Linked DNA regions of Macaca fascicularis. The protein of the gene in region 2 purifies or fractionates together with the protein of the main gene of each other region. This does not show direct contact. Links are inferred from orthologs where the notes say so. Each region holds a gene or a part of one and is shown on either strand. Other genes may lie near its edges.

Region 1 (4,187 bases), on a different chromosome or scaffold from region 2:
TCCATAAAAATACAAAAATTAGCTGACCGTGTTGCTGCATGCCTGTAATCCCAGCTACTCGGGAGGCTGAGGCAGGAGAATCATTTGAACCCGAGAGGCAGAGGTTGGAGTGAACCGAGATTGAGCCACTGCACTCTAGCCTGGGAGATGGAAGTGAAATCCTATCTCAAAAACAAAAAAACAAAAGCCCTCATATACGCAAAACATCTTTAGAGGCCTCATTTCTAAAAACTGTAGTGGGATCCCAAGGCAAAACGTTTCAGAAACACTGATGTAAGATTTGTGTTTTTTGTTTTGAGACGGGGTGTGCAGTGGCACCATCTCAGCTCACTGCAACCTACATCTCCCAGGTTCAAGCGATTCTCCTGCCTCAGCCTCCCGAGTAGCTGGGATTACAGGTGCGACACCACCCCCGGCTAATTTTTATGTTTTTAGTAGAGATGGGGTTTCGCCATGTTGGCCAGACTGGTCTCGAGCTCCTCACCTCAGTGATCCCCCCGCCTCAGCCTCCCAAAGTGCTGGGATTACAGGACTGAGCCACCAAGCCCGGCCTGGGTTTTGTTTTGTTGTTCAGTAGGGTGGAACATAATGTCTAAACCTGGGCCCTACCTACCTGGTGCTCAAAAGTGGAATGACAGTCCCTAGCCAACCTTTCACAAAGGACAGAGAGCTACTCAACGGACCGCTGTACCCTTAAAGACTGGGAACCGGAACCGCGGGTGAGTGGGACTGAATCACAGAACAAGCGTTTTCCACGCTTCGCCGACGTGCTGAGTCCCAAGTTATAAAGACAGGAACATCCCAGCTGCTCTCCTGGGCTGACATGGACGCGAAGGGACCTACAGTGGCCTTGGGCCCAGCAGGCAGCGAGTGCAACGTGACTACCCACAGTCCAGCCCCTGGGGCCCAGATCTACAGAACCGACCAGACGTGACAGCCCTTTGGCTGGGGCTGCAGTCCCACGATCCACACAACGACTCTGTCTCCGCAGACGCGCCACCAACCACGGAGGCAAGAAACTGCAGAAAATGAAACGAAAGGGAGCCCAGTGCCGGGCGGCGCTCAGCAGCTCCCCCAACGGCCACCGTCGTCAACATCTCCGCGTAGGGGTTTGAACCGCAGCGCGCTCTCAGAGGTCAACGGTTGCGCGGCCCACGCGCGCGCATGCGTCCTGACCAGTGGAACCTTTTCTTGGAGACCCGGAGGCGAGCGCTGGAGGGCGGGATAGTGGCGAGCCACCCGCAGGAGCTTCCGGCGGCGCGTAGTCGTGATTGGCGGAGCCTGGGAGAGGGGGCGGGGCAACGGGGAATTCGAATGGGAGAGGCGGGCCCAAGGAGGGAGGGGAATGTCCGCGGGGGTCTCGACGCAGCAGAGGCAACGCGAGATGGCGGCAGCGGTAGCGGCAGCGGCGGCTACCTCAGGTACTTGAGCCCGGCCTGGGCAAGGCGGGCACCGACGTCTGGAGCTTAGTGGGAGTCATGCGTCGGAGTGTGGTCCAGGTTCCGCGGGTTGTCGCGGAGAGGCGGCCACAGCGCAGGGGCGGGGAGAGGGGGGACGGCGAGAGTGTGGGGTCGCGAGTTGGTCGGCCAGCCTGACTCCAGCCTTCTCCCTGTTTCCTGCTCTCTCCTTGGGTCAGTAGACTCGGGTCTCCGGCCCAGGCTCTTGATTTGAACCCCGCGCACTTTGTGAGCTTCGGTTTCTTCCTCTGTGAAATGGGGGTCATGGCCTTGTCCCTGGAGATGACCTGAATAAGCAAGAGAAGAGTGGCGGACGCTCTAGCCACGAGGACGAGAAGGGAGCCGGAGGCGTGTTTTGGGAAGGGTTCTGTGTGGGACATGGTGTTTGGGTGCAGAGACATCCCTGAGAGATGCAGGAGGGCGGATTGAGGATCAGACCCGGCTGCTGCTGGGTTTGAGTTGACAGCGTAAGATGCTCTGCGATTACAATAAAACGAAATAAAAGGCTGAAGTTTCCTTTCACTCTAGCATGGAAGTGAATGCTATTTTAGGGTTAGAAAGGCTGTTAGGACACCCAAAATCTTGTATGTGAGTATTTGTTTACATGTGCCTGTCTAACCCGTAGACTTAGCCCTTGTCAGTGATGATGGTGGGCGCCATAGTAATTCATTGGAACCCTCGTTAGCCTCGTGGGGAAACAGACATTTAGGAGAATGCCTAACATGTAGAGCTCTTGCTATGTGCCAGGCACAGTTGTAGGCATTTTATGGTGGTGAACCATTTATTGTCCACACAATGCTATGAGGTTGTTACTATTACTGTCTTCGTTTTATACAGGAAACTGAGGTTAGTTTGTTCAGATTTAACGCAACTAGTAAATATTGGGGCCTGAATTCGCTCTCAAGGAGTCAGAGTGTAGAGCCTCTGCTCTTAACCATTATGCCCAAGTACATGCTGTCCCTGCTGGCTGAGCAGAGTCTCCCCTTACCCTGATGCACTGTGTCCGGTGCATGGTAGATATGAAAATGCCTGAATATAATGTCCCTTCCTCGAGGAACTTAAAATCTGTTTGAATAGAGTGTCACATACTCAGATGTAATATGAAACACAATGAGAGATGTGTATACACTGAGTGTGTGGAATCTGAAGTAAACCCTTGAGTAGAATACTCAAGGGGAGGACTTCATTCAGGGAGTGATACTTGAGATGGGTTTCAAAGGTTGGATAGGAGTTTGCCAGGCTTTGACTAAGAAGACAAGAACAGCAAGTGTTGATTTATGATGTAAAAGAGGCCAAAGATGCTCTCTTAGCTCAATTTCCTCATCAAGAGAAGGAAGAAGAGTGAGTGAAATTTAGGAATTGTAGAAGAAGGGAAAATTAATAATAATTGCTAGTCTGGTCCAAGCTCAAGGTTGCTTTTATCATGAAAGGGCTAGACTCTTGTGCTGTAAATAATTGTTTACATGTGGCCCTCCCTCTTCCCTCCTCCCCTGGACTGTGAGCTCTGGGGCAGGAATGGCAGTGAGCCACTTTCATGATGGAAATGAACAAGCCAGTGAGTAGAAGTTGATTCACTACATCTTAATTTTTTTCAGCAAATACTTCCTGAGGGCCTACTCCGCGCCAGGTGTTGGGGTTAGAAAGGTGAGCAGGATAAAACTTGTTCTCACAGTTGGCAGTCAGGTGGAGAAAGTGACAAACACGCAATAGTGGGGCGTGACAAATGCTTATGGAGGGGCTAACAAGAGCTGTGGGTGCACCTGATAAAGCCTTAGTGTCTACCAGGAAAGGGTTTTTGGTTTTGTTTTTTAAGAGGAATTAAGATGTGTTTACCTCAGTCACTCCAGGGTGGGGTGGGGAGCAGTGCAGATATTCTAGGGAGAGAGATTAACGTGGACAAAAACCCAAAGGTGCAAGAGAACTTAGAGTTTTGTAGGAAGTGAAGGAAATTCATCATGACTGGTAACTTACACTGCAAGGAAGGAAACAGAGGGAATGACTAGAGGGCAGGGAGACACCTTGCTACCATCAGCAAGGAAGGCTGTAAAGACCATGACCTTGGGCAGAGGTAGTGCAGTGGGAATGGAGAGAAGTGGACTTGTTCAAGAGAGATTTAAAGAAATAGACTTGACAGATGTTAATGATGAACTGATGTGGGAGGTAAGAAACGTTGGAGTTAAAGACTCCCACTTTTGGGGTTGGTGCCATTCATTTACATCAGATCAAAGGAGGAGGCTGCAGAGAGATGGGGAAGGGAGGGTTCAGTTTAGGACAGGTGGAGTTTAAGAGGAGCCGTCTGCCAGGCTCACGCCTGTAATCCCAGCATCCCAGCACTTTGGGAGACCAAGGCGGGAGGATCAAGAGATCGAGACCATCTTGGCCAACATGGTGAAACCCCATCTCTAAAATTAATCAAAAATTAGCTGGGTGTGGTGGCATACGCACCTGTAGTCCCAGCTATTCGGGAGACAGAGGCAGGAGATTGTAGTGAGCCAAGAGCTCCACTGCACTCCAGCCTGGCGACAAAGTGGGACTCCGTCTCAAAAAAAAAAGGAGCTGTCAGGGCAGCCATTCAGAATGTGGGTCTGCAGTAGAGCGCTCTTGTGCAGAACGTACAATAGTACTTATCCGCTGTAAGATGTTACTGAAGCCAAGAGGACAGGTGACCTGCCTACTGAGTGGTCTCAGCTGGGGGCAACTTTGTCCCTCACAGGACATTTGGAGATGTCT
Region 2 (4,107 bases):
CAAAGTGATTCCTAAAGTACTCCGGCTCTTTTCATTACCTCTCCCCCAAAGGAAACTCAGTTGTTCACATCTGTTAAACCCACTGACTTCTTCCATTTTAACTTAAAAAAAAAATTCCCCTCTGTTGGCTTTAAAAGTGTTTCCCTAAGAAACATATGCATTTTAAACATTTATCTCTGCACGTTGTTCTGCTCAAAAAATACACTAGAAAGGACCGGGAGTCAACGATTCTGAAGGAGTTTGTATCAGGGTCTCTTCTCCCTGCCTAGCCAAGTTTAAACACACCCAACGCCTCGATTCCTTGCTTCCGACCAGAGTTGCTGCTTTACATATCCCTGGACATTTGAGATGTTATTCGTTGATATTTCAATATATTTTAAGATAATTTTCCATTTCTGTTTTGTGAAATTTTTGAATACGTTCTTTTGTATCTCGTGTCATTTCTGCCTCTGGTAATGTTGTTGTCCCTGGTATCCCTGGAATTCATTTCCTTTCTCAACAGACAATATTCCCTGTCAGCTGCCACGGGCTCCGCCCTCCAGAAGTTCATACTTTGTGGTCAAGCAGCTTCTTTAACTTTCTAAGACGAATTACCTAGGAAGTGCTATTGTCCAAGGATCACCAGCTCTGCCTAAATTCCTACCTGTTGCGGGCGCTTAGTCACAGAAGATAAATCAGATACGTCTACTGGGCCCTTTCCTTTTCCACCCAGCGTTCCTGTCGCTTTCCGCTGAGCCTCCTCAACTCACGTCATCCCTGCAGGTCCTGGCCCCCAGACTCGACCCTGGACGGCAGGGAGCCCCAGCCCGGGAACGGAGCTGCGAGCGTCCGACCTGGGAAAGAGCGAAGCTCAGATCTCTCTGCAAAGCGAACAGAGAGCGCAAGGAATGCCCAGGAAGACAGGGCGCGCCCGGGGAGAGAAGAACGTTACTTTAACGCAGTCTCGACCCTGGACCCCTGCATCTAGGGCTTCCCGGACGAGTGATGCAAAACAACTCGCCCTGCTGCGTTCCCCGGCCTCTCCTTCCCCTTGCTGGTTTCCCCTGAAGTGTACTTCTCTGTCGCTTCCTCCCCATCTCTCCGAAGGCACGTGGTCCTTCCCTGCCTACCCCAGCCGCACCCCTCCCGGCCCCGAGCCGGCTCCTCCCAGCGTCGTTCGCTTCCCCTTTCCGTTCGCTCTTTCCGCCCCGGCTCTCCATCGCCCCTTCCCATTGGTCGAACGCACCGGAGCCTGGTTGGCCAATGGGCGAGCTGGGCTGGAGGCGATGGGCGTGGCCGCAGCTCCGGGGCCCTCAGATCGAGGCTGCCTCCCCCTCTCAGCCGGCAGCACATTCCGCCGCCGTTGCCGCCGCCCGGCCCCACAGTTGTCTTTGCCGGAGCTGCAGTCGCGCTGGGGTTAGGGCGGGGGGGCGGGCGGGGAGAGGAGAAGGCCGCGGCGGAGGCAGGTGAGAGGAGGAAGGAAGCGGCGGCGCGGCGAGCACAGCAGCTCAGGCGGCGACCCGGTTCCTGGGAGTGTCGGTGCGGCGCGGTGGTTGGGGCGGATCCCGCGGGGCCCGGGCGGGGGAAGGAGTCACCGGCCCGGCCATGGCGGACAACGAGAAACTGGACAACCAACGGCTCAAGAATTTCAAGAACAAAGGCCGCGACTTGGAGGTAAACTGCTGGACGACGCCGGAGGGGTGGGGGCCGTGGGCCTGGGGCCGGTCTCCGCCGGGACCCCGAGTGTGGGGAGTAGGGGCGGGAGCCGCCTCCGGGCCTCGGGGAATGGCGCTGGGGGCCGGCCCGTCCGTGACGCCTCTGCTAGCGCGCCGGGAAGTTTATGTCGGGCCTGCTCCGCCTCCGCCGGGGAGCGAGGTGCCCGGGTACGGCCGGCGCGGCCTAGGCCTGCCCGGCAGAGCCGGCCCGGCGCGGGTGCGAGGGGTCGGGCCGCGCGGCGGGGAGGCCGGGCGCGGCGCGTGCGGAGGAGGCGTGCGTGTGCGGTCGGCGCTGCCCGGCCCGGGCCGCGGCCCTCCCTGGCAGCGGCGGAGATTCCGGCTCTCGCTCGGGCACCGACGTCTGGCGCTGCGGGAAGGAGGGCGGTGGGGGTGGGAGGGTGAGCGTGTGGCGACCGAGTGGGGCTCTGAACTTCCTCAGCGAGGCCTGAGGCGTCTCCACTTAAAGGCATTTTTTCTGGTCTTCCCGACTCCCGCTTTACCCCTGCCTCCCCCCAATATCCAAACTACAGGACAACTTCTCCGTTGAAAAAAACACCCCCGGCGTGAGAGGCCATCCTGGTGATGCTAACAGTGCCTTCCAGCGGCCTGTGTTTTACTCTGGATATAGCTGATTCAAGATGTGGCTCACGGTGTGCCCTCTTCCAGGCAAAGGATACCCCTTATTTCAGCTTGTCCACAAATCTCTTTACCCCCTCCTGAGAGGAGACCACCAGCTGCATTCTTACATATAAAGTCCAAAGGGTTATACAAAGCTGTCATCCTCTAGTCTACAGTATCCTTTCCCTCCACCTGCTGGTGGTGGTAGTGGGGGATGGGGTGGGCTAGGGAATGGCACCATCACGTTTGATTATTTAAAAAAGAAAAAAAAAATCATTGTCTTAGATACAGCTGCTCCCCAGATTGTCTACATGGGGCGTATGGTTTAAATACATGCATTCACACACGCATACCCACACACCCCACTGAGATTTTTGATAGAAGACTTCTTCCCTTCAGCTTTAATAGTTTAGATAAATAGATTTATTTTAATACTTCCCTTCTGCATCTTAATCACGAGTTTAGCTTTTAGGGAAAGTGGTCAAGCAGTATTTTTTATGTTGTTCCTCGGTATGTTTTCGTAATGAAATCTTCAACTTCCCATGACATTTCTGAACTTGAGCGTTTGCTTGACTGAAATATTTTTTGGGCTTTTTACAAAGCTGTTAATATTATCTTTAAAGTAGTTTATGCGTTTTAGTGGGTTTCATAATTTGAGGGAGTACTAAGTGTCCAGGGCTGTTAATTCTGTGGTTCTTTTAAGGTTAACATATTACCGTTGTGATCCCTTTTTTAATACAAAGATGTCACATCTTTATTGAGATAATTCGCATGCTATAAAAATGAGCTGCTTAAATAACAATGATTTTTCAGTAAATTTACTTGTGGTGGTGAAAATGTTTTTTACTAATATGAATACTTAGAATGAGAAAAAAATCACAAATGATAAAACTTAAAAACTGATAATTACCACAAAATTACAGAATCCAGAAAAAGAGCAATTAGGTGCTTGACAGATCCCTGTAACCCTTTTTTCCTCTACATTTCTGGCTTCATTTTTCTAGCAGCTTCATTGAAATGTAATTCACATGGCATACAATTCACCCACTTAAAGTGGCTTTTAGTGTATTCGCAGTTTTGCAGCCATCACCACAATCAATCTTAGAACATTTTCACCACGCCAAAAAGAAACCTGTACTCATTAACAGTCACTCTCCAATTCCCAACTACCCCAGCCCCAGGCAACCAGTTTTTTGTCTTCTTAGATTTGCCTATCCTGGACATTCCATATAAATGGAATTGTACAATTTGTGCTCTTTTGTAACTGACTTCTTTCCCATAGTGTAATGTTTTCAAGGTTTATCCATGTCGTAACAAGAATGTATCAGTGTTTCATTTCTCCTTATGACCTAATGATCCTCCAGCTCATGGATATACCACATTTTATTTATCCGTTCATCAGTTAATGAACATTTTCATTGTTTCCACTTTTTTAGCTATTTTACATAATACTGCTAAGAACATGTTTGTGTGGACGTATGTTTTATTTCTCTTGGCTATATGCCTAGGAATAGAATTGCTAGATCATATGGAAACTGGCGTTCAACCTTTGGTGGAATTGTCAGACTTTCTGAAGTTATCCTTATTTTTTAAATTGATGTTTCCTCCTACCTCATATCTTTTAGCACTTTAGTCAAAATCAGATTAAGTGCTGAGGCTGTATTAGAAGAAGATTGTGATGTGTGACTTTAAAAAAACAAGTATACATTGACATTAACGAGGGTGTTTGTTTGTTTGTTTAGAAATTCATAGTGCCTTATGGTTGTCCTCTGGTGACTTTAATATCCTTTTGCAT
Region 3 (4,242 bases), on a different chromosome or scaffold from region 2:
CCCCACCCCCCCAAAAAAGAATGAACTCCCAGTTTTCATAGTGGCCCCGGCTGCCTTTCCAATCACATTCCCTACCACTCTCCAGCAACACTGACCTCCTTGTTAGTCCCCAACATGCCAGGCATAGTCTCTCCTCATGGCCTTTGAACTTGCCTGGAATGTTCTTTCCCCAGATATTCAAATGAGGGAGTAAAATGAGGATGAAAACCCATAGATACCTAAATAGCACCCCCTTTACTCTTACTCTATCTTTCTCAAAGCCCCTGTCACTATGTGAAATGATACATTATACTTATGTGTATGCTAGTATGAATCTTCCCGGCAAGAATCTTAGTATGCTGTCTGTTCAGTACCATGCATCCAGAGCCTGGAAGAGTGCCTGGCACATAGCAGGTAGTCAATAAATGAATGGGGGCAGGCAGCCAAATCAGAATCAGGTTTTCTTGCTAAGCATAGAACTAACAGAAGGATCACTGAATGGATTGGATAATGACTGGCATCAGGGTAAGGTCCCCTTAACAAACACTCCTGTCCTGAACACCTGGTTAGCTAACACTTTTCTCATATTTTCCCAAAACACAATTGCTGGATCTCAGCTCCAAATCCATTTTTCTAGGAAAGTGAACAATTGCTGGATCTCAGCTCCCAAATCACATCTTTCAGGCAGAGCTAACATTGCCCCTTATTCACACCTCCACCAAACCATCTGATCCAACAATGACAGGTGTCACGAGGCCTTGGCATGCACTCTCTTCCCCCGCCAGAGTTCTGCGAAGGCCAGGGTTGGGATTTGTTGTCAGTTTATTCCCCACCCCTACGAGAACGTGACCACCGGGCAGGCTCAGATGAAATAATGCATTGAGTAGGCCTCTGAAACCAAGGCCCCTCAGCTGGGGCAACGTCAGGCTCCAGGGCGGGTAACTTTGCTGCTTCTGCTGAAAATGGTGATATTGAGAAACTGCGGGTGCAGTGAAACGCTTATTGCAGCGCACTCGGTGCATCTGTGGACAGAGGGTCAATCGCCCCTCAGGGCCGCGCAAACAGGCGTCCCGAGCCTGGGCCTTCACTTGCCCCAGCATCCGCAAGGGTCCATTAATCCTTAACATTCAAATTCCGCCCACTAAACCAGCCCCTCCGCGCCCAAGCCGCCTCTTTTCCCCAAACGTCGGCCGAAAGCAGCCAATCAACAGCTGGAGGGGACCGCCTCCTTTTCCCTGGCCGAAATGGACAAGAAATCTCGCCAATTGACGGCATCGCCGCTGTGACCGCCCCCCCGCCCCAGCCCGGCCATCACAGCCAATGGCGGGCGGGCTCGCAGCGGCGCCGGGGGCGGGGCGCGGGCGCGCAGGTGCAGCAGCGCGCGGGCCGGCCGGGAGGGCGGGGCGCGACGTCGACCGTGCGGGGTCCCGGCGTCGGCGGCGCGCGCGCTCCCTCCTCTCGGAGAGAGGGCTGTGGTAAAAGCCGTCCGGAAAATGGCCGCCGCCGCCGCCGCCGCGCCGAGCGGAGGAGGAGGAGGAGGCGAGGAGGAGAGACTGTGAGTGGGACCGCCGTGGCCGCGGGCGGGGACCCTTGCCGGGGGGCGGGGGTCAGGGGCGGGACGTGGCGCGGGAGGGGCCCGCGGGGTCGGACGACACGGCTGGCGGATGGCGTCCCTCCTCTCTACCCTCCCCCTCCCGCCGCCGCCGGTGGCGACTCTCCCTTCGGCCCGTCACCCGTGCTCGCGGGTGACCGTCCTCGGCGCGGCCTCCCTGGAGCCGCCTTCGCCTGACGCCCCTCTTCCTTCCGCCCTCGGCGCGCATCCCGGCCCCCGGCCCCGCGGGCGCCCCTGTCGCCGGGGCTTCGCCTGTCGGGGCTGCGCGCGCTCCTGCCCTGCTCGGGGCTTTGGGCCGCGGCGCCGTCGCGCGCCCGCGGCCCCGGCCTCTCCCTGGATCGCGCTCTCCCCTCTCCTCCCTCGCGCGCCCCCTCTCCCGTTACTTGGCCCCCCCCACCGGCGCGCGTGCGCACTTCGCCTCCCGTCGGGAGAGTGCGCCACAAGGGCTCCTGAGCTCTCACCCCCATCTCTGGGCTTTGCCTCCCCCTCCTTCTCGCCCATTCCATGAATTTCTGCCCCCCCACCCCCACGCGAGCGAGTAGGTCCACCGGCTCCTTTCCCCATCTAGCAGGAACAAGGAGGTGGGGATTATTGTCCACAAAAGGACTAGACATTGTGTTCTGGGTCCCACAACTCATCATAAAGAGGTGGTTATAGTTCCCATCAGGAGCCGTGAGTAGGGGACTGTGCGTCCAGCAGCACCCGAGGCTCTTCGGCGCCTGAGGCTCTAAGGTGCGAGCGTGTCCCCAGGGTGCTCAGAGGTTCTTTGGAGTGCTGTGGCCTCGGAATGTGAGCACCCTCCCATCTTACCCTCCCCTTCGCCGGCGATCTTCCAGTTACATAAGTGGAGTGGGACATAGTAGGTAACGGGCTCTCATCGCCCTGGAGCGCTCGGGATCACCGGTACCAGATGGAGCAAGTTCATCGCGACGCTGTGGCTCCTGTTCATTGTGCCTGAAAGGTTATTCTCTGTTCAGTTTGGTTATGACCGAATCACCCAAACTGAAACTCAGATGACTTTTATATGGCAGTGGCAATGTTTCTGTGGTTTTGCACTAAAGACTTAAGGTCATTATGAAGAGTTTAAAAGGATTGCTCTCGCAGGGGAGACCGTTTATGACATTGCTAAGTATGGACCCCAAGGGGGAAAAAGCTCATTCTGGAATTGCTCTGTGGCGGTGACTTCTGTTGTGAGTGTGTTCGGGTGTGGGTTGGTCACAGCAGAAATGGGCTCCACCACAAAATTGATATTCCTGACTCATGGTCAGACAGATGTGTGCTTCTGGTTATTTTTCCAGGAACAGGAATGGGCTCTGCCGAGCCTTGCACACGTTGTGTCTCTGCTGTGCGGGATCAGTACCCCAAACTGAGATAACAGGATCGAATTCATGGGTTGGTTGGTGATCCAGGAACCATACCTACTTGGATGTGATACTGAGTGACTTAGACGTTGTAGGACTCTCATAAGTTTTAGGCATTTTGTTATACTGTAAAAAGCATATACGGCCTCGGTAGTAACGTTGCACTAATAGGTAATTATTACTCTAGAGAATTTTGGGTTCCGTGGCTGGAATGTTCATCTGTATCTCAGCAATTTCAGTTAATAACCAGATTAAGCTGACCTCTTGAGTCTTTTGAAATCTGCTGGGTCCCTATAATAAGATAGGGTCTGGATTTTTTAATCTTTTGGGAATTTCCACCAAGGATTTAGGGAAATAGGCTTATTTATGGGCTTTTCAGGATTTCTATTTTAAATCCCAGTCAGGAAGTGTAGGAAGCACTTGCTTTTATTTTCTTACGTGAATATGTCAGAACCTTAAATCACCCAATCAATCTAGAAGTAGTACAATTGATTAAAATAAGTCACCACAGGTCACCCATTCGTGGCAGGTCAGCTAGGTGGCTGATCACTGGAATACAGTCATATCCCCAGGCAGACACAGGAGCCTCACTTGACGATCCCAAAGTTTGTACATCTGAGCTTGAGACATGACAAGTTGAGGTCTCTGCTTTGTTCTTCATAGTTGGCAGTTTGTCTCCTCGGGTTCCCCTCCAGTTAGCTGTTTATCATACACCTAGCCCTTTCAACAGTGCAGGCAGCTTCCATAGTATAGTTTTCTCTTCAAAGTGCCGGGTGGAGGGGTACCCCCCTTTCCATTGTCCTAATGGCTCCATAGGGCTTCCATACCAGCCCTTTCCAGTGTCCTAACAGCTCAAAGAAACCATCTATGACTTTCTTGTTAGCACTGGCCTATCACACCTTCCTATTGCCTGTTACTAAAATTTAACCTGGAATGCTTTAAGCTTAGAGTACTGGGTCTTTGTTTTACCCGATTGATAGGAGAGTGTCATACAGTCAGCAGAACTCCGACTTTTGTGCTGTTTAATACTTAGGTAGGTCTGGGGCAAGGCACAAACCACTGTGTATTCAAAGGGTTATGGTGCTTACATTCTGTGTGTATATGTTTGTAATTTCCAACCAGAGTCATTTCCCGTGCCTGCCCTGCCTCTGTGCAATCTCATCTAGTGGAGTAGGGAGGCAAGCTGTGGAGTTTGAAAAAAAAATAAACAAAAAAACTGGCTAGATGAGTTTAATAGGCTGTTACCCCCTCTGGAACATTCCTCCCATGTGGAGATGAAATGAGAAGTTC

The links. The genes of interacting proteins can lie anywhere in the genome.
Region 1: the proteins of KPNA4 (region 2) and KIF22 purify together in Homo sapiens (affinity purification with mass spectrometry; 3 studies listed by BioGRID and IntAct, counting the BioPlex papers as one, with this or other methods). This does not show direct contact. The link is inferred for Macaca fascicularis from reciprocal best matches to the Homo sapiens genes KPNA4 and KIF22.
Region 3: the proteins of KPNA4 (region 2) and MECP2 purify together in Homo sapiens (affinity purification with mass spectrometry; 3 studies listed by BioGRID and IntAct, counting the BioPlex papers as one, with this or other methods). This does not show direct contact. The link is inferred for Macaca fascicularis from reciprocal best matches to the Homo sapiens genes KPNA4 and MECP2.

The regions. Positions count from the first base shown.
Region 1 is NC_088394.1:28,312,979-28,317,165, reverse strand, and holds the start of KIF22 (kinesin-like protein KIF22), read left to right. Parts: upstream 1-1,384; coding exon 1,385-1,421; intron 1,422-3,052; exon of another isoform or gene 3,053-3,101; intron 3,102-4,187. UniProt on the Homo sapiens protein: Kinesin family member that is involved in spindle formation and the movements of chromosomes during mitosis and meiosis. Binds to microtubules and to DNA. Plays a role in congression of laterally attached chromosomes in NDC80-depleted cells.
Region 2 is NC_088376.1:63,526,367-63,530,473, reverse strand, and holds the start of KPNA4 (importin subunit alpha-3), read left to right. Parts: upstream 1-1,294; 5' UTR 1,295-1,584; coding exon 1,585-1,653; intron 1,654-4,107. UniProt on the Homo sapiens protein: Functions in nuclear protein import as an adapter protein for nuclear receptor KPNB1. Binds specifically and directly to substrates containing either a simple or bipartite NLS motif.
Region 3 is NC_088395.1:160,165,546-160,169,787, reverse strand, and holds the start of MECP2 (methyl-CpG-binding protein 2), read left to right. Parts: upstream 1-1,439; 5' UTR 1,440-1,472; coding exon 1,473-1,534; intron 1,535-4,242. UniProt on the Homo sapiens protein: Chromosomal protein that binds to methylated DNA. It can bind specifically to a single methyl-CpG pair. It is not influenced by sequences flanking the methyl-CpGs.